Nothobranchius furzeri: one gene and its partners. The protein of the gene in region 2 interacts with the protein of the main gene of each other region in a pairwise test. Links are inferred from orthologs where the notes say so. Each region holds a gene or a part of one and is shown on either strand. Other genes may lie near its edges.

Region 1 (4,117 bases), on a different chromosome or scaffold from region 2:
CCATCTTGGAATCATGTGATCAGAGAAGGCGCTTCGATTGGCCACTAGAATAGTTCAGCTCAGCCGGCAGCTCAGTAGTGCGCACACGGTGAGTTTCTACCCCCCGTGAGGCGGAAAATATCTGAATGGTCAGATATTCGTCTCAGCTTCTTGTGAGGTGGAAAACTCAGTGAAAATCAGGTGCACACGGCGAGCAATCTGCTGAGCCAACGGTCATTCGAGGCCGTTTGCTCTGCAGATTGCTCTCGTGTGCGGCAGGCTTAAGATTCCTGAGAATGTTTTAAACATAACTGTGGGCATTCCTACCTCATTACGCAAATGAAGAGGATCACATTTAAAACTGTGTCATTTAAAATGCAACACATTGCAACAGAGGCTATGCTAGCTGTAGAGTAACATGCCACATCCTGAAAGACCACTGCCTTCATTTGTAAAGCTAGAATGCAAACAAACATTAAAAATACAGCCTGAAAATAAATTGGCTTTAATACAAGCATTGAAGTTTTAAAGTTTGAGTACATTTATTGATGTTTTTTTTGTCTGTTTGTTTTTTTGCATCTTCTGCTTGAACTCCTCTTTGGTGGTGGGGGTCTTGACTACTACTGGTAACAAAAATCACTGATTTCATTTTACTATTTATATATAATTTAGCAGAAATTACAGCGGCATGTTATTAATGCTTGCTGTTACCAAAGGTGCAATATGTAAGGATGAAGTAAGAATGACATTCTGTCACCAGATTTAGGCACTGCAACCCATTTTTAGAAACAAAAAGCAACTCTCACTAGAAAAACTGTCATCTATTTTAAAAGCTTGTTTTCCCCAGAAAATCTTGTTAATTTTTTTTATTATCTAATCATTTGTTACCATGTAAAAAAAAAGTTGAATAAAAAAAAAAGAAAATCTCAACTAGGGAAGAAAATGAAATGGATTTCATAGGGCTCTAATTTTACTACTTTAGATCCTTAAAAAATAGAAAGTTAAGCTTGTCCCCCTCTGACACTGGTGCGGGTGTAAATATTTTGCAATGTTGTGTTTTCATCTATGACTGAACGACAGCTTGTCTCACCTGGTTTCATAATAATCTTTGCAATAATGTGAAGTCACAGAAACTTAAAAAAGAAACTGAATTTGAAAGAGAAGTAGAAAATTCTATAAGAAAATATATAAATAAGAAAAATGCTACAATTTTTAATAGACACATACTTTAAAGAAATGCAAACTTAGAAAAATTAAGGGGAAAATACAAAAACAAATGAACTATTTCAATCTAAAACAATGTTGTGTGCAATAGATATCAAATAAGTTTTATTTTTATTTTATTTTTTTACATTTTATGTTTAATGTTTCACTCTTCTTTGAGACAGTGTTAATGATTTAAATAGTATTGCTCTAACCTAAAATGTGTGTTGCTGTAAACAGATAATAAACTCAATACCACGGGGACAGAATATGTGTAAATAAATGTTGCTTTATTATGCCCTCAGTCATCTGAAGCTAATGGAGATTTTATGCACTTAGACACAATGAAGACATATCAAACTTCCCTTTTTTGTGGTAGAAAACTCGAGTACACACGTCCACAACTGTGTTGCGATAAGGTGGACTCCCAACTGCCCGAATAGTTCAGTTTCCATTTGTTACCATTAGCCAAGACACATTGAAGTTAGTAGTTTCTGCCCAAGTATTTCCACCTAAACTGTTCAAGTGTTTCCAGTCTGTCCAGCACTTCCACCAATTATTGAACGTAATTATTCCACAAACAAGTTAAAGTCTTATTATCAATGCCTCACGTCTCAAAGTTCAATTTACTTTTCAACTTTTTGTCCAAGTTGGCAAAAGAAAGTGGTGCCCGTTGGCAGACTTAGCTAGCTAGCTCAGACGTTAGCTTCCAAGCACTTCATACATTTTACTTTAAAGCTAATCTTCACTCTTTTTTGTTCGGTTTTGAGTGAAAAAGCGGTTCCCAGTTTCGATAATCGATAAACATTTAGGAGAAAGGAAAAGAAAAGCACCCACACAACGCGGGCTTTTACAGGCTATTAACATGAATGAGGAAAAAGTAGCTGAAACCCACGGAACCAGCTTTAGCCAAAGAGTTAAAGTATCATCAGTCAACTTATAAACCCAAAGAACTACATACCCGACGGTAGCACTCACTGTGAAATAGCTTCTGCAATAGATCTAAAGTTCTGCTGTATTCCAGGTGATATCGGTAAAGTAGTAAGTCTGCCTCGAGAACTGACCACTGTGTCCGCAGACACCGACAGCAGCTGGAAACTCCGTGGATAAAACAACAACATGGCAGCGTTAAGAAGATGCGTTCAAGGGCAATCTAATGGCTGGTAAATCCGAAGTGAAGCTGTCTGTTCTGAGAAGCAAATCATTGCTGTACTTTTATTTGGGAAGTCATATTTTTGACCTATTTCGAAAGAAAAATAATCTTTTCCTTCTTCCAAGTCGTGTAGTGAAGTAGTTCGTTTTTTTGATTATTCCAAGGGACAGTGAAGGCATCATGAGCAAGAACAGAAGCCAAGTTTTTGGGAGGAGACCTGCCTGGGGTTCAAAATAGTAAACAAGATGGTACATGTTGTGGCTTTGTAGGAAAAATGCACTGACACCTTAACAAAAAAATGAAGAAAATAAAGCACAACGGTTTCCATAGTGTCCACAAACAACAGGAATGGGAATAAACTCCCCATAATTTACTTTCCCCCTCTTAATGCCTGTGGCAGCAAAAACTCTACCCTTAAGCTAGGACGCTGCTCATCTGCATCCAAACATTCAAAATTCATTTAATTCAAACTTTTAGGGAAACACTACTAGATTTTGGCTTTCCCCTTTAAAAACTGAAAACATTTGCACTCATTAGTTGTTTAGCACCCAACTCTAGTTCATAACACATGCTGTTGTTTTAACCCCATCATTTTAAATTCCTGGATTTAAATCTCAGTTTTTATCAGCAGAGATGGTCTGCAAGTATCAAATTCATCAATACAATACACAACATAAGTTGAACATACATTGCATTATTATTTTTTATTTATTTTATACTTTTACAGGCCAAATCTGCTTCTGGATTCATTAGTTTTTGGGAACTATTTTAAAGCGTGTAGAGCACATTTACAGTTGGATCATTCACCACAAACTAGATCTGAGTCTGTTTGCTTCCTAAAACTGGAAGACGGTGCTCTTATCAGTTCATCCAAACACCCAAAGAGAGTCAATGTGATTATTCACTTGCATCATCAAAGCTCTTAAATCTGCACCGAGACACCGGAGGAGATTAGATTATGCCACGATGCTTAGAGCAACACTAATCGTGTATTAGAAAACCACTGTGACCTTACAGGGTTGGTCAAATATCCCAACACTTCAAATGAATGAGTCCGAGAATATTTCCACACTGCTGGAATGTCAGAGAGTTTGGTGAAGGGTGATAACAATTTATTTAATTACCCAAAGGAGAAAAAAGGAAGTCATTCACTCTCTAAACCAAATATACATGCTCTGTTTTGGTTTGGTTTTACACCACAACAACTCCTTTGTTTAATATTTCTTTCATCACAAGTAAAATTCTATTTCTTTGACCTAACGCTGCTTTTCTTCTATGTTGGGTTCATCCAAATGTACCACACACCAAACGGATTACTTGTTGTGGAACATTAGCTAAAATTAGAATATCCCAATTTTTGGAAGTGATTATTTGCTCCAAAGTTTATTATAAACCTGTTTGTCATTTTATACATCACCTTGCACTGTTTTCCATTTCCCCTCTGCTAAAAAGCTGTTTCCATCATTTACAACCACCCTCTACTGATGACTAAACATGTGGCCTTTGGTTCACCTCCGGTTAACTGAAAAATGCCTCATGGAGGAGTGCAAATCTCCTCTTTATGTAAAAACTAAGTAAATTCACCTGCATGTTGCTGGTATCAAATAAAAAATACCAATATTTTTATTTAAATACTTATTTCTATGCAATTAAACTTTTATTTAAAATAAGAAACTAGTTAGTGTTGGCTTCAGCTGATGTGTACACTTTTCATTCTGACCTTTTTTAAAGGTTTCTAGCAATTTATTTAAATTTTTTTCCAGATTTACTTAATGACAGGTT
Region 2 (3,339 bases):
CTTACCCCAAAATTCCACTACCTCCGCTCCGGCACGAACTCTGCAGCAAAATCGGTCCCGTTGTAGTCAATCAGAGCTGTTCCACTACTGCGGCTGTGCGGCGCAGTGCGCCGCCCACCGTTCCGCCATCCGGCAAAAATAGGATCAATTCTATTTTTGACGGACGCCGGAGCACCTCCGCAGTCGATGGACAGAAATCACAACCGCCCAACAGGAAAGGGTGCAAGCACAGCTTCCATTATTTCACAATAAATCAATAACAAAAAGCGTTTTTTGTTTCATATGCACAGGTTTAACAACTTTTAACAACTATCAATGGCGGCAGAACTTTAAATGCACAAAAATGAGCCATAAATATAGTTTCCACTATCAAAGTAGTCACACTTAGTTGATCCAAACACTGCTGATCTGTCAACACAAATGATGGGCAGATTAAACAGTTCATTTCGATGCTTCTCCCACACAACGGGTGTTTGGATATAACTTCTGCGTTTATTGCTCGGACTGTATCGCAAGATCTCGAAAATCCCGCGCATGCCTGTTTGCCCACCTCAGGTCTCCGCACCGGAGCGGAGCCGTTGTAGAGCGGGTACCAGTAAAAATTGAGTTCGGAAGCGAGCGGCTGCAGAAGGCGGGGGCGGAGCGGAGGTAGTGGAATTTTGGGGTTAGGTGTTGCGTAACGTCTGCTAAGCATAGCACGCAGCTAATAGTCATTGTTATAGTCGATGGGTGTGTTTCCAGCGGCTGCAAAGTGGTGAATTTTGCACACGTCCCAGAAGCATAGTGTTCCGTTGCTCTTCTACGTTCACACCTCGAGTTTATTTTTATGCGCTGTTCTTCCAGATTGCGTCAAGTTCAGTTGTTCAGATTGAGTCGGACAGGAAATCAAACACAGGAGCCGTGTAAAACATCTGGAAACTTTCAAACTAAAAGCCACATGCAGATTTCCCATTGTTTTTCTAGGTAAGAAAAGTATGCCATTAAGTTTGACGCCTCCATAGCTGAAGTAAACAGAACAGCTACTTTAACTGCCAAGATCTTGCAATTCTCCCGAGGCACCATGACCTCGCGGGACCAGCTGTGTGGTACGCTTTCACTGCTGTTTGGCGTCTGAAGAGCTTCCTGTGGGAAGTGACGCATCGCTGAGCTTGCATTTCGCACCCAAGTTAGAAAAAAATCAGTTTAATACATTTTTCATGAAATGATGTCACTTTTGCATCAGATGCTTATTTATGCTGAAGCCTTGTCTTTTTTAAACACACCGCAGTTCATTCCAGTGCAATACTCAACAGTTTGTTTTAAAGCCTCATGTAATGGTAACAAGGTAGAAAACTACACAACATTCCCTTGAACAGACATCCATCTTCCCTGTGATGTTCTGGATTTGCGTGCGTCTCGATGCATTTGTTATATTTTGCATTAAGCAAAACGACTACAAAGTTGTCGCATGGCTCTAAGACATTGTTCTTCCTCAACAGGCTTCACGAGCACAGATATTAGACAAAGCTACAGAGTACATCCAGTTCATGAGGAGAAAAAATCACACCCACCAGCAGGACATTGATGATTTAAAGAAGCAGAACGCACTGCTGGAGCAACAAGGTAATGGGAGCAATCCCTAATCGAACACATTCACACAGTAACTGTAACGTTTTACTACACTTTCTGTTTTCATTGCTGATCCCTTTAAGTTCGTGCACTGGAGAAGGCCAAAGGGAACACTCAACTCCAGACAAACTACTCTTCTGACAGCAGCTTGTACAAAAACCGCAAAGGAAGCGCAGTGTCCGCATTTGACGGCGGGTCCGACTCCACCTCCGAATCGGAGCCAGAGGAGCCGCCCAGCAGAAAGAAGCTGCGTGTGGAGGCCAGTTAAACTCCGGTGCCCCCCAGACTCTTTGCATCCACCAGCTCCAGCATCTCTGACCTGTCTTCTTATGCTCCTAACTTCTTAAATCAGTCCAAGACACAAGAAGGAGACAGTGTGTTAGGTGCTGTTACTGTTTTATTAAAACGCTTCTACCTTGTTGTTTCCTCCTGTTTTTGTGACCCAGCAATGACTTTTATTATCCCCAAAGTGAGGCAGCTCAGCAGTTTTTGAAGGACTTGATGCTTTTGAAACCTTGTGATAACATGTTCATGAAATGACACGTGAGCCTTTAGTAAAGCTACAAAACAACTTTTGCAGTTTGTTGAATTGTGAGATTTTAACACCTTTTATGGAATGATAATTGAAAGAATTAGTGTTTTTAATATTCATATAAAAATGTGAATTTGTTTTCAGTAAACATGCCTGGAATGCAAGGTGTGCCCTCCTTTTTGATGTAGGTGACTGAAGTTTTTGACTTTGAGAACTTACTTGAATCACATAAAATCCCCCTTTTCTCCCCATTATATAGTCTATCCATATGGCTGATCTCTATACTGATTTACAAGAGGATTTTCACAGCTTTTGAATAGTTATTCAGAGTTTATACATGTGGTTATGTTTAAAAAAATCACTTAATTGATACTGAATGTTACACAATGAAGTTATAGGACAGTGACTTTAATTTTTGTTCATGGAAGTCCATTTCAGTGTGTAGTATATAACACTGTATACTCCCCAGTGGTGTCAGTTCTGCAATGAAAAGCCTTCCCTTGAAATATTTGCCTGCGCTGGGAATGTTGATCTTAAAAGTTTAAAAAAAAATGTGTGTATGTAATAAATATTTGTTCCATTCCATGGAAATTACAGGTATGTTGTACATACTGCCAATGGTTGTCTTGCAAGTTAAGGCATACCTTTATTATGAGATTATAAATAAAACTATTTTATCCTTTTTGGATGTATTCATGGCTCAGTGTGTATTTTATTAGTTATTTTTGTCACTCTGAAAATGTGTCAAAATTACATAAATGTTTCAGGAAAAGTTTATGATTCAGCAAAAATGTGTTTGCATTGTTTTTCGTAGTTTGTGCTGGAAAGTTAATTTTGTTTTAGCCTTTTCCCTCTACTTTGGAGATGCTTGCATATCCCAGAGTTGTCTTTTTTCCTTCAAATTATTGTAAAAAATAGCTGCCTGGAAGAACTATATTTGTATCAGGTCAAGTGAATATCCACTTAACCATTAGAAAAATGAAATTTCAAATATTTACTTTCTTGGACTGGTAAAACTTCATTCTTATACATTTTCACTTTTTTTTTTTTTTACATAAAATGTAATATTTGTAGTTGAAATGTTACCATTTCCCCTAAACTGACAGGAAGCAAGTAATTGGTTAAAAGATGCTGATTTCCGTGCTGCCTTTGTATTTATGTGGATTTTGTAAGTTACATAAAAATAGACCCCTTGAAAA
Region 3 (4,050 bases), on a different chromosome or scaffold from region 2:
AAGAGCTTAAACCACGAATGAAACAAAACAATGTAGCGCAGATTAATGTCTAAGTGCATGCAACCATTTGTAAATTTGGTGCTGAAGGAGAAGCTGGACTAAAACAGCTAAATAGCTTTAAGGCAGAGTTTAGCAGGCATACTGGATGAGTTCAGATTCTTGTATAAAAGCCCTCGTTTTGTTCCTGTTAAACAATGAATCACTGGAAGGTAAAACACCTGATGGTTGTGAGGAAATGACATCACGTGTTGATGGAAGCATTTTCATAATGTAACATCCTTCCCCGTTCAGTTCAAATACACCTGTTCTCATTTAGATCATTAAAAACTAGAGAGTTTAGTTGTACAGTAACATCTTCATCTCGTCCTTCGTCCTCTGTTTTTGGAATGTTTTTCTCCTCTTCCCGTTTCCTCCTCCTGGCTAAACAAACACATCGTCTTTTCCCTGGAGTCATAGCCAGGCTCTGTCCATGCTGGAGTAACAGTGGTCTACATCCGTGTGTGCAAAGCTCAGCCCGTCAGAATCCACGCAGTCGAACACGATGCTCTCCACATCAACCTCCACGTCCTCTGTTACAGTAATAAGTAAATAGCATGAGAAAGGACCTTCCACCAAGTAGCAAGGTTGAGCTGAGACCCACCTCTGTCGGAGTCCGACCTCTCGGAGGACATGGTGGACCCCTGGCTGTTGTTCCTCATCCTCTCTGTCCCTCTCTGCAGCTGCTCCAACCGAACCCGCAGCTCCCTCTGCTGCCAGCGTAGGTGACCTTTCAGCTTCTCTGCGCGCTCGTCCTGCTCTTGAAGTTTCTGAAACCAGGCAAACGGAAAGGCAGAAACAGATGAGCAAACGTGTACAGAACCATCTTCACGCGGGTTAAGGGGGCGAAGACCTTCATGTTCACGTTGACCGATCTGCCTCTGCTGTGGTGTCAACCTCAGAGGACAGAAAGGGTCTGCAGCAGGTGACAGGCTGGCTAAGCACAACCAAGACTACATTTCTGCAAACACTAAAGGACTCTACTGACCTTTGACATCATCTGTTCTCACTGCTGCTCTCTGGAAAAGATGCAGACTCCTCAGATCTGCATTAAGTTCCTACACATCCACCTTCTCAGTAAGAGGCCACACACACACACACACACTGGTTCGTAAAATTTGTTTCCCATCATTCTTATTCTTGCGACTTAGCAGCGCTAAAAGAGTGGCTAAACTTGAGATTAGATCGTTGAAAGTGACTGTTGGTACCAGCTGCAGGTGACTAGTTTGTGGAGGGTCTGTAGCTAGTCTGAAGGGTGCTAGCTACAAAGTGGTTCTGTAGTCTTGAAATAACTCATCTCAAAGGTCTGATAGCAGTGAATACCAACATGACATTTTATAAACTTTACACCACAATAAACATCACATTACGTGGTTATCTGTTGTGGTTACTTGCAGCGCTAGCTACCTCAGGCCCTAACCTGACCACCTGACCCAGAATGAATCCCTCTTTCTCCAAACCGAGATCTACGCCATTCAAAACATTCCCACCAGATCTGAGCTTCACGTGTACCTTTATGTGAAGCTGAGCTTGTCTCAGCAGGTTGAGCGTGGTGTTCCTGGAGGAGTCTGATGACACAGGAACCTGCTTCTTCAGCTGCTCCAGATAATGCCTCAGCTGAGCTCGCCTGCAAACAACACATCATCAAACTCACTGAACAATAACAACATCTTCTACAAACAAGTGCCGGCATCTCATTTTTCTGATTACCTGTTTTTCTCCAGCTCATTGTGAACCGACCTGCAGATGACAATAAGAACCTTGGTCAGAGACAACAGCAGTAATGAAAAACTCAGGCACAGTGCCTGAAGGGGGAGTTCAGACCTAAAAGCTGACACACCCTCTTGTCAGTTATCTGTTATATAATGTGTTCACCTGTTGCCACCAGCACATATCCTCCTGCTCTTCTGCTTGCTTCTCTTATCGGAGTCGCTTGGACTGAAAGGCAGGGCCGAAGCATATCCGTGTTCTGCTTCTGCACGGGGGGAGAAACAGCCATCACAGCTGAGTCAGACGCAGCTGGTTCACGATGTTAAAAATAGCTTTGCATCGTACCAACAATCTGAGGTCGAGTACACATGAATACAATGGACGTAATACGGGTGGAAACAGGTCATCCGTCACCGGCTGGACGTTTACTTTTGGGTTTTGGCGCCATCACCTACCAGCTCCCCGCTTTATTTAAACTGTAACTTCGAGCCTGATAAACTAAAAGTGGCTAACATGGACTCTACGCGGTCTGTCAGCGATGCAGCTTGTACTAAAGGTCCGTTTCAGCCTTAGTTTCATTCAGCCTAACGAAGACCGCTCAGCGCCGCCCGGATTCATTTTCAAACTGGCGCAGATTGGCGCCTTCCACTAACAAAGATGCCACCGGTATGTAGGTCACTGAGTCAAAAGGCAAACACCAACAAACATGAGCTCCAGCTCAAATCCCGGTCACATGTAAACAGTCACATCACCGGAATAATAAACCGCGTTCACATTTACAGCTGGTTCGTGTTTGTTGTTTTCGTGATAACCCAGTAACTACCCATAGGCTGAAAGGTGACGTAAAACACGTACCCCGCTCTCTCCTTTCCAGAAATTCAGCAGCTCGAAGAAGCACCTGGATGTTGCAAAAGTTTCCTTCCATTTTTATGTTTTCAATTTTGAAAATTAAAAAAAAAACTCAGGTAAACAAACTAAAGTGGAACAAGCAATAACAGCCAAACCAGATGAAGAGCTGTGTGTATGCTACGTCTTCAGCGTACAGAACTGACAATGGCGCTACGTTCACGTACCGCACGTAGGCTCGGATAAATCCCGAGGTTATATTCTAGTCTCGTGTGACTGAATGGCTTTGAAATAAAATTGTGCGCGCACAGTTTATATGCCTAATATTATTATTCTTAAATGTTTTATTGGGTCGATTAGGAATTTACTTATTTGAATGAGCGGCCCATTGTGTTGCAGTGCATAAAATTTCCAAAGGTACTTAAAGGGGTCAAAATACATCCACACAACCACTCCCCTCTCAAAGGTCTACTAGTTCTTCTGTGCAAAAGTCTTGGGTCATCCAGCATTTATGTACATTGTTATGAGGGAGACGAGGACTTGATTAATACGTCTCTACGCTTTGGAATTGGCTATTAGATTCCAGTCTTCTAGCCACTTTCTCTTTATTATTTTAAGCCATATAACTCTGATCTTTGAGTCATAAAATGGCTCCAAAACTTAAGACATGAACGAAAATACCCAACTGAATACCTGGGTTTTTATTTATTTATTTGCATTTTGCCACGGTCCCTCAAAAGACATGTTCTAATTTATTTTGAAGAAATAATGACAAATCACTAACACCGATTTAAATAGGACATCATCCTGATAAAGTATATATATATAAATACACAAGTCGAAACATAAAAATGTTTATATATGATCTACTTCTACAAAACAGAAAGGGATCTTTGCCCCTACTAAAGATGGCGGTACATGGCTTCGCCGCCTGAATGGACACTGTTACCGAGCTCTCGGTAGCGGAGTGAAGCCTCTCTGCCAGTAGTATCTTTAACCTCTGAACCTCCGAGTGTGCCAGTCCTCCGCCATATTCACTGTTGTCTTCACTGGAGGAGATAGAGAACATTTTCAGGTCCGAGAAGAAACGAAAGTGTGCTAGTTAAATTACCGAAACTGGTGCAAACTTGTCCAAAGCGCATCGTTAACACCGACGTAATGGCAAGGAAGAAAAGCAAGCAGCAAACGGTCGCCCAGAAAGAGCTTGTGCCTGGACAGCAGCAGAGCGCAGCGAAGAGCCCTGTCTCTCCCGGCGATGCAGCTGGCGGTGGCGGCGGAGATGCTGGGCTGGATAGGCTGTCCAACACCAGGGCGAACCAGGTAGCTAGCAGCAACCAGTCACCGCATCTAAGTAGGCTAGTTAGCCTTGATTTTTAGCGCCACTGCTAGTCTAAGCGCTGCGCTTTTATGTAACGGACACTATGTTCGGTAGTTGGAAGCTATTCCATACTTGTGAAT
Region 4 (4,042 bases), on a different chromosome or scaffold from region 2:
GGTGGATTAAGGCTCCTAGAAATATTTTTTGTAAATAACTTACTGAATATACTCTTCACACAGTTTGCTGAAGTTCTCCCTCTCTTTGTCACTCTTCAGGTCATCGTAGAGTTTGCTTAGCAGCACGGAGCAGCTCATGTGAGTGTTGTCCGTAAGAGGGGGTCCCTCTGAGAGCTCAGGAACAGTCCCAGCCACCTGCAGGATTTTCTTCAGCCCTGCATGAGATTAGGCACCACATTCCACATTTTTGTGACCGTAAATGCACGAGGATGAGACGAACACACGACCGCATGCAGGTGAGTTTCCTACCTTGGTCTATAACCCATAAGGCAAGAGAGTTGTCAGGATGCTTCAAAGACTTGCGGGGAACTTGTTTAACAAGGAGGTTGATGGCACTGTCCCTGCCCGGTCCTGACACATCGGGCGCAGGCATCATCTCTAGAAGGTGGCGCAACATTGAACGCAGCTCCTTAGATGGTTCTGTGTAGAATTCAGATGGAGATTAAACATGGATACAATCAAATATATGATTATAAACATGATACAGTAGATCTGCTTTGAGCGGATCCAGCTCCTATTATAAAAGCAAATAGTCAAACTCACCAGGAAGGATCGCTTCGTCCTTTCCCCTGATCTCTCTTTTCATGCCCTCTGTCAAAGCCTCAAACATCACCTGCAGGAGGTGGCAGGCGGCCAAAGACACAGTGGAAGCTCCTGACCCCATTACCGCACACAGCTGGTCCATTCCCAGTTCATTCACTATCGCCATCGTCTGGAAATAAAAGGCAACAGAAGAAAATCAGCAAACACTCTGCTGCAAATAAACAACTTTAAAGACGCCGCACTGATGGTGACACTTACTCTCGACTGATGTCCCGTGCACAAACCAACTAATGTCCTGAGAGCAGAAAGCACAATGTCCTCCTGCTTCGACTGAAGAAGATTCTGAGTTAGCTTCATCCCGTCGTTGCGGAAGATCTGCTCAGCTCCCGCTTCCTCCCGAGACAACACCACCAGATTCTGAGCTGCCTAAAAAGTTGCACGTATTGTACTGATTTAGTAAGTGTTGACAATAAAACACACACCAAGAGTTACAGAGAAGTGAGCAATTAGCACCTTCTGTCGATCTGAATCTTTAGCAGAAGCATCTAAGAGGAGGGAGAACATCTGCTGCACGCGTGCATCTGTGGAGTTTAGTTGAGCTGACTAAAGGGTTGCAAACATGGGCTAAAATTAGCATCTGCTTCTTCCAAGACAAAACTCCTAATCAGTTTCATATCACCTTTTGCTGCATCTGTGTTCCCAGTTGTCTAAGCAGATCTTGAAAAGCTTTGTTTTTAGGCTCGAGCTGCGCACACGTCTGAGCATCCAGGAAAGCCTGGTCGAGCCGACCGAGTTTCTGAAAAGCCTGAGCCCTCCGAAACCTGGCTTTCACATCGCCTGGGTCAGAATCAAGTGCTGCAAACAAAGGAAAACACCTGGAAACATTTACTAAAGTGGTGCATCTAATAAAAGCTTCAACCAAAGAACGATTTGTACAATACCCAGAATAATGAGCCTTAGCAAACAATAATCTCCTAATTGTCAAGTGTTTTGGGAAGGTAGTAGAGGCTCTGTACCGGGTATTGTTAATATGAAAAATGGAATCTCCATGAATTCACTTTTATGTATTTTGCAAGGCTTTATTTAATATATCTCACATTGTTTTGATTCAAACCGAGTCTGCTACATGTTCAGAAAAAGGCAGGCATGCCACAAAATGATCTGCTTTCCAGACTGTGAGATGTCCAGTTACATAGTGATGCCCACAAAGATGTAGCAACAGCTAAATGCAAATTAATACTATCAAATTTAAAGGCCGAAAGGACAGTTTGTATAAGCAGAGTTCTGTGTGACTAAATAAATGGAAATGTAGTAATTAATTTGTTTCCATGGCAATGGTAAACAGCTTTAATTTACTGGTCAATTTAATTATTTTAAAAATCAAGTAAAACTGTTGTATTGATGCATTATTTAATCTGATTGGTTAATGTGTTTTATTTGATGATCTGAAAAGTCTGCAGACTTCTGATCTGCATACAAGATGAGACAAAAAGAACACTAAAAACACCGAAAATAAGCCAGTACTTATACTGTTTATTTTTTACATAAGTAATTTTACTTGAGTAGATATAATCTTGTGAGTATTTTGCTAAATAACCTACTGTTTACATACCTAGCGTGGTAACTTTTTATATTTATTATGTGTGGTGATCTACAGTCTCTTTCATAAATGTCCCTGCGATTTCATGGCCCCATAGAAACTTGTGCGCTCTTATTTATGCAAATTAAAGAGAAGTGTCCGACCTTTGGAGGCATCAGCCTCCGCTTTGCTGAAATCCTCCAGCTTCAGGTAGCAGGCGGAGCGGTTACGGTAGAGGACAGCACCGTCAGCCCGGCTGTCAGTCAGCTTTAACGCCTTGGTGTAACAGCAGACAGCGCCCTGCATGTCTCCTGCCTTAAAGAGAGCGTTCCCCTCCTCCTTCAGGGCTGCTGGGTCCTCCTGAGTTCAGGGAAAAAAGGTGAGTAACGGTTACCCGGACGGGAAACTTCTAGAAAAATCGGAAATAAACAAACCGAACGGCTCGTTTCAGCTTCCTTACCATTTGTTTTTCGCTCCCACTCATCTTCAGATCCGTTCAACACAATTCGGCGCGTCGTAATGTGACGGAACAGTTGTTTTTATTTCTCTAAATTGTGATTAACAATGTGAACTTCAGTAAAACATCTTGCTGCGCTTCCAGGTGTTCGTAGCACATTGATGACGTTTCACACAAGCCCCTCCCCTCTTATTTGTCGCAGCTTGAACAAAAGAAAAAAAAGGAAAACACCGACTGCTTTTACTTTATATGGTTATATTCACAGACATATATATTGTCTATGTCTGTGGTTATATTTACATCCTGGGGCTTTTCCCAGTCTGCACAGGGACATGTTGTACTTCTCAGGTAACAAAAGAAACAGAAATTCAAATTTAAATGTAGGAAAATGTTTAAATGTCCCAGCCAGGTGATCTTAAAGCCACTTTGTAATCTTGTTGTTTTCAGACTTTATGATTTTCTTTACAGACTTTTACTGTTTGCAACACATTTCTGTCCAATAAAATTCTATCTATCTATCTATCTATCTATCTATCTATCTATCTATCTATCTATCTATCTATCTATCTATCTATATATATATATATATATATATATATATATATATATATATATATATATATATACATACATATATAAACATTTTTCTGAGTCTTTTTAACGTTTAATCGTAGGCACGACAACTATATTCAAATTTCTTTAATTGATTCAGTAGAAATGCCAATTATAACAAAGTTTGACACACAAAATATTATTTTAGCATTCAATTCAATTCAATTAAAAATACTTTAATAATCCCAGAGGGAAACTGATTGCTGTAGTAGCTCAGAATAATAATAATGATCAAGTCGTCAAAGAGTTGTACAATGGCTGTTGGCAGGAAGGATCTCCAGTAGCCGTCAGTGTTGCAGCGAAACTGAAGAAGCCTCTGACTGAAGACACTCTTCCGTTGTCGGACAGTCTTGTGAAGAGAATGCTCAGGGTTGTCCATAATTTTCTTGATTCTATGGAGAATCCTTCTTTGCATTATCTCCTCCAGTGGTTCCGAAACTGCCAAAACTCTGGCTGAGTCCTTGAAAGGGCTTGGAGTTCCTCCATCTTGTTGGCCAGTGATCTCACACTGCCCATTATGATCGATGGAAGAGGTGGTTTGAATTTCCTTTTCCTCTGTCTCCGTTTTGCTTCCGCTCTGCACCCACGCTTCTTGCGTTTTAGCTCATTTGGGATTTGTGGCTTCAGTTTGGGTATTATTTCAGCCTTTCCAATGTTAATCAGCTGCTCCTGATTTTAAACCAGACTGTTGCCATGGTTACACATCATAACAAATACTCAAAAAGTGAAAAAAGCTAAAAAATAGCAGTAAAAATCCTCCAAGCTTCACAGCACCAGAAACAGAAAAGTAA
Region 5 (4,076 bases), on a different chromosome or scaffold from region 2:
CGACAGCCACATTTGAAATAATTCTGTCTGTGGTAAAAGACCCCAAAGTAAGCACAACACAAACATTAATTATGTTACTGGTCTTCGGGGTCCTTTTTCTCATCATTTGCATTGAAAGTCATTTCCTCAATGTGATGCCTTCAGAATGCAGTCCAGCAAACATCTGGCTGCTAGCATTACAAACTGCCTGCCATGCACAACAAACCACATTTGCACGCCCCTGTTGAGCTACTCATAACTCTTCCTATGCTTCAGCAGCTTTGACACTCTGCCCAAGCTCACTTGGCGCTGGACATGATGGGTCATCCCACTTTCAAATGAACCTCAAGTTCTGGATCCACAGCCGCAATTACAGACTCCAGACCAGTCACACGATCTGAACTTCATTTGGATGAGATCAATGAATTTAGATTGAAGGGGGGTGGATTTGCAATAAAATGGATGGCATTCAACAAAATGTTTAGGTCATCCTTCGAGATTCAGCCTTTGCTATTCATGTCATTTCACAATTTCTAATCTAATTAAACATTGAAATTTAGTATAAAAAAATATATATATATAATCTAAAAATAATGGCCATAATTTAGCACATTCTGCCAAACTCTTAGAATCTTCATTTTGTCTCTTTAAATGTAGATATATGGTGTTTATAAAATTGTTTAATTGTGAAAATACATTTAAAAGCCTTTTATTTTGAAGTACACACTTGATTAGCTCTAGTTATTATTACACTTGACAGGTGCTTAAATAAACTACATCATTTTCAACTTTCTTTACTGTGTATTTCTTAATACCAAGCTAACGAGTGTGTTGCCATATTGTATCTTCACATCAGAAATTCTCATCTCAGTTTCTAGCAGGACTTTCATAATGACATGGACAGGAAATGAGCACCAAAACACGAACACCGCATGCTAGCAGGTCTGTTATACCACACGCTCCTATGAGAAATAGGACCAGACGTCTTGTTGACTGAAAGAGTGCAGTTTACTTCACCACTAGAATGAAAAGAAAAAAAAACACCATACTTTGGGAACTTTATCTCATTTGGCAACCAAACCACCCCAAGTTCAAGAAAATGCACGCCCAGAGTCGCTTCCAGCCAATCATATGCGTCCTTCATGTGTAAAACCAATCAGCTTCAAGATAGGTGTGGCGCTGAAGCTGTTGCTAGGGCATGTCCCCAATGACTTCAGACAGTTTAGCCAATCAAATAGCAGCAAAGAGCTTCATTGGTGAGGACACACCTGGGACCGGCGGAGAGCCTTTTCTGATTGGATAAAGTCACGATCACTCAACTTCCTGAGTTCAGGAGCTTTATTGTAGTTTGGAGTCGCTAAGACTCAGAAGTGAACGTAGCAGCGCACATACATCGCTCTGAAACAGTTTATTTTTTACATTTTCATTCCATTATCCTATGAATTGTTTATTTGTGTAAATAGATTTTTCTATTTTTATGACGAGACATCAAAGAAGATGGAACTTAATTCTCTTTTAATTCTGCTGGAGGCTGCAGAGTATTTGGAGAGACGAGACAGAGGTAAAGGTAAAGCTGGGCTGACAGCGTTTATAGATTATTTTCTGTAGCTGTTGGGTTTAGGAGGAAGGGGTTTGAGTTGATGTTTGGGGTTTAACAACATCCACAGTGCAGGTATGATGTCACTTTTCCCTTTCAGTGGGGCACAGACCAGGCGATGGGTACATCCTGGACTCAGCAGCTTTATGCTTCAGAATAATCACAGATTAAATTTTTTATATATATATTCTACGTTTTTCTTTTTTGGGTAGATTTATTTTTTTCTAAACACACGTTTTTTGTGCTTTTAATATGCCTTATAAAATATCTGAAAAATGTGGTTGTTTAGCCTTGATGTATTTCCTATTTATTCACTCACTTTCCCCGCTTTTATGGCTTATTTATTTATCAGTTTATTTCCCCCCTTGTGATTTATTTTTGCTTTGTGTCAACAGAGGCAGAGCACGGCTATGCGTCGGTTTTACCCTACAGCAACGACTATTCCCGAAAGAAAACAAAACCTACGACAATTTCCAGAAAATCTCCGAACAACAGGTAAAATTCACCCCATTCTTTGTGTGTTTACACTCGTGACAGCTCGTGCAAACCCTCCTATATGCAGACACTTACACATATGCAGTAGTACATAAAGTGCTTTGGTGTCTGAGCTGGTCTGGGATCGGTGTTTTGGTCTCTCCAATCAACAGTGCCACGCGTACACTGTCAACTCTGCTGCCTCTGCTCAGTTTCTGTTGCTGTTAGCCTCCCCATGCCAAGAGGAGGGGCACACACACACACACACACACACACACACACACACACACACACACACACACACACACACACACACACACACACACACACACACACACACACACACTTTACCATTCTAAACTAAGCTTACGCCTACTTGAAAGCCCTAAATGTCATTTTTTATTTTATTTCTTCATGTGGTGTTTTGTTTGGTGTCTTGTTGCTAAATGCAAGTCCTGCAGAAGATGAAACAAAGAGAAGGGGTTCGCATTTCAGAAACTGCAATCCCTTTTCCCCACACACCCAGAGAGACCATGAAGGCCTCATTGTTGCTCGATCAAAACAGCAGCTTCTCACCCGTGAGGCTTTCACGGACCTGCTGCTTCTGCCCATTACAGGCGGATATTGAGGAGCCACGTCATTACGTAACATAAAGAGCAGGTTTCAGTTTTGGTTTTCTGATTTCAGACCTGCTGGACCTGTTAAACATCAACAGCTTTTATCTACTCTTTTAAAGAGACAATGTGTAGTTTTTACTGTTTATCTCTAGAAATATCCATCCAAACGTAGTGGAAAAAGAATTCAATGTTGAAAAATATTGGCAGCTTTGTAACATAACCATGACAATCTAGTCTGAAAATACACGGTGGTGGGTCTAAGTTTCTGGGCAACGCCATTTTAGACACCTCTGTCTTTGGGAGCTCGTGAAGACAAAACACATCTACTTATTTGTCACAAACGGTTTTTAAAACTTTCGCCGTTCATAAATGTTGTTTTACACATTTACCTCTTCACTCGTTGCCTGTGATGAAAGGGAGTATGATGTGTTTGTCATTTTGCTGGAGGTTGTGCTCCCAGGGATTTTTGACCCTAATGGCTATCCATTGGTAAGGTCTCACTCGAACACAAAAATATCAGATGCTTGCAACGATTTAGGCAAGTACCGCCCCCTATCGCCAGGGAAACACACGCAGTCACTTGAAACTTTAAAACATTGAACTTGGGATAGACCGATAGATCGAGACGATATTTACCATTTTTGATACGTCACATCTGCCGATAAACCGCTTTAGTAATGCCGATTTAAAGTCGGGCACATTCTTGGGCAGTCTGGTGCTGCCGCAGGGTTTTATTTGAATGTACGTTTACGTTCTTGAAAACATCTGCTTAGTCAATGTTCAACTGACGTTTCTTTATGTTTACCGTATTTTTTGTATTTATTACTTGATCCGTTCGTCGATTTGTTTGATTACCTTTGGGTAAATGTTGGTTCTTATACTGCGCCGTGTACAAAATCAAGATCCAAGAGCTGGTTCGATTCTGACATTCAAGACTGATCACGTTCAGAAATGTTGTGCTTCCACTTTTAATGGTGACATTTTAGCATGCAGACACGGTGGAGAACAACTAGATTTTGGCCACAAAAATCGGCAGCACATATCGGCCATCGGCTCATCTTGATTTCTACATATCGGTATCAGCATTAGAAAAAGCCATCTAGGTTAATCTCTATTTAGAACTGTTACATTTAGGTTTTATATGTTTTTGTAACATTTTCAACCTGATTCATGTTTCTGTTGATTCTTTGAAATCATAACTTGCCAGTGTGAGCTGGCCCCTACTTAATTTATGTTTTATTTAAAAAAACACCTAATCTAGATTTGATAAACTGCACAATTTACTCAAAATAGATGTGGCGCGATATTTTACTCACCTTTTGACTCACTTTTAATTCACTGTAATTGCTAAAAACAGAATTGAGACAATAGGTGGACCGTCCCGTTTCTGTGTCACGAATGGATGGTGT

The links.
Region 1: the proteins of protein max (region 2) and plekhf2 interact in binary tests that used the Homo sapiens proteins (3 or more experiments, as listed by UniProt). The two-hybrid records come from large-scale screens. The link is inferred for Nothobranchius furzeri from reciprocal best matches to the Homo sapiens genes MAX and PLEKHF2.
Region 3: the proteins of protein max (region 2) and mxd3 interact in a two-hybrid assay, tested with the Homo sapiens proteins (4 studies listed by BioGRID). The link is inferred for Nothobranchius furzeri from reciprocal best matches to the Homo sapiens genes MAX and MXD3.
Region 4: the proteins of protein max (region 2) and unc45a interact in binary tests that used the Homo sapiens proteins (3 or more experiments, as listed by UniProt). The two-hybrid records come from large-scale screens. The link is inferred for Nothobranchius furzeri from reciprocal best matches to the Homo sapiens genes MAX and UNC45A.
Region 5: the proteins of protein max (region 2) and mxd4 interact in a two-hybrid assay, tested with the Homo sapiens proteins (2 studies listed by BioGRID). The link is inferred for Nothobranchius furzeri from reciprocal best matches to the Homo sapiens genes MAX and MXD4.

What each region holds. Positions count from the first base shown.
Region 1 is NC_091745.1:67,587,108-67,591,224, forward strand, and holds the start of plekhf2 (pleckstrin homology domain-containing family F member 2), read right to left. Parts: upstream 2,807-4,117; 5' UTR 2,161-2,806; exon of another isoform or gene 2,144-2,160; intron 1-2,143. UniProt on the Homo sapiens protein: May play a role in early endosome fusion upstream of RAB5, hence regulating receptor trafficking and fluid-phase transport. Enhances cellular sensitivity to TNF-induced apoptosis.
Region 2 is NC_091758.1:33,255,056-33,258,394, reverse strand, and holds the end of protein max, read left to right. Parts: intron 1-1,478; coding exon 1,479-1,602; intron 1,603-1,691; coding exon 1,692-1,876; 3' UTR 1,877-2,832; downstream 2,833-3,339. UniProt on the Homo sapiens protein: Transcription regulator. Forms a sequence-specific DNA-binding protein complex with MYC or MAD which recognizes the core sequence 5'-CAC[GA]TG-3'. The MYC:MAX complex is a transcriptional activator, whereas the MAD:MAX complex is a repressor.
Region 3 is NC_091741.1:102,024,315-102,028,364, forward strand, and holds mxd3 (max dimerization protein 3), read right to left. Parts: upstream 2,804-4,050; 5' UTR 2,672-2,803; coding exon 2,602-2,671; intron 2,224-2,601; exon of another isoform or gene 2,117-2,223; coding exon of another isoform or gene 2,092-2,116; intron 2,012-2,091; coding exon 1,912-2,011; intron 1,777-1,911; coding exon 1,747-1,776; intron 1,664-1,746; coding exon 1,549-1,663; intron 807-1,548; coding exon 641-806; intron 570-640; coding exon 451-569; 3' UTR 241-450; downstream 1-240. Other genes in the region: protein FAM193B, read left to right, coding at 3,751-3,912. UniProt on the Homo sapiens protein: Transcriptional repressor. Binds with MAX to form a sequence-specific DNA-binding protein complex which recognizes the core sequence 5'-CAC[GA]TG-3'.
Region 4 is NC_091744.1:74,263,483-74,267,524, forward strand, and holds the start of unc45a (protein unc-45 homolog A), read right to left. Parts: upstream 2,805-4,042; 5' UTR 2,667-2,804; coding exon 2,643-2,666; intron 2,543-2,642; coding exon 2,347-2,542; intron 1,459-2,346; coding exon 1,283-1,458; intron 1,207-1,282; coding exon 1,117-1,206; intron 1,030-1,116; coding exon 862-1,029; intron 773-861; coding exon 604-772; intron 481-603; coding exon 310-480; intron 216-309; coding exon 44-215; intron 1-43.
Region 5 is NC_091746.1:81,015,222-81,019,297, reverse strand, and holds the start of mxd4 (max dimerization protein 4), read left to right. Parts: upstream 1-1,271; 5' UTR 1,272-1,476; coding exon 1,477-1,540; intron 1,541-1,971; coding exon 1,972-2,071; intron 2,072-4,076. UniProt on the Homo sapiens protein: Transcriptional repressor. Binds with MAX to form a sequence-specific DNA-binding protein complex which recognizes the core sequence 5'-CAC[GA]TG-3'.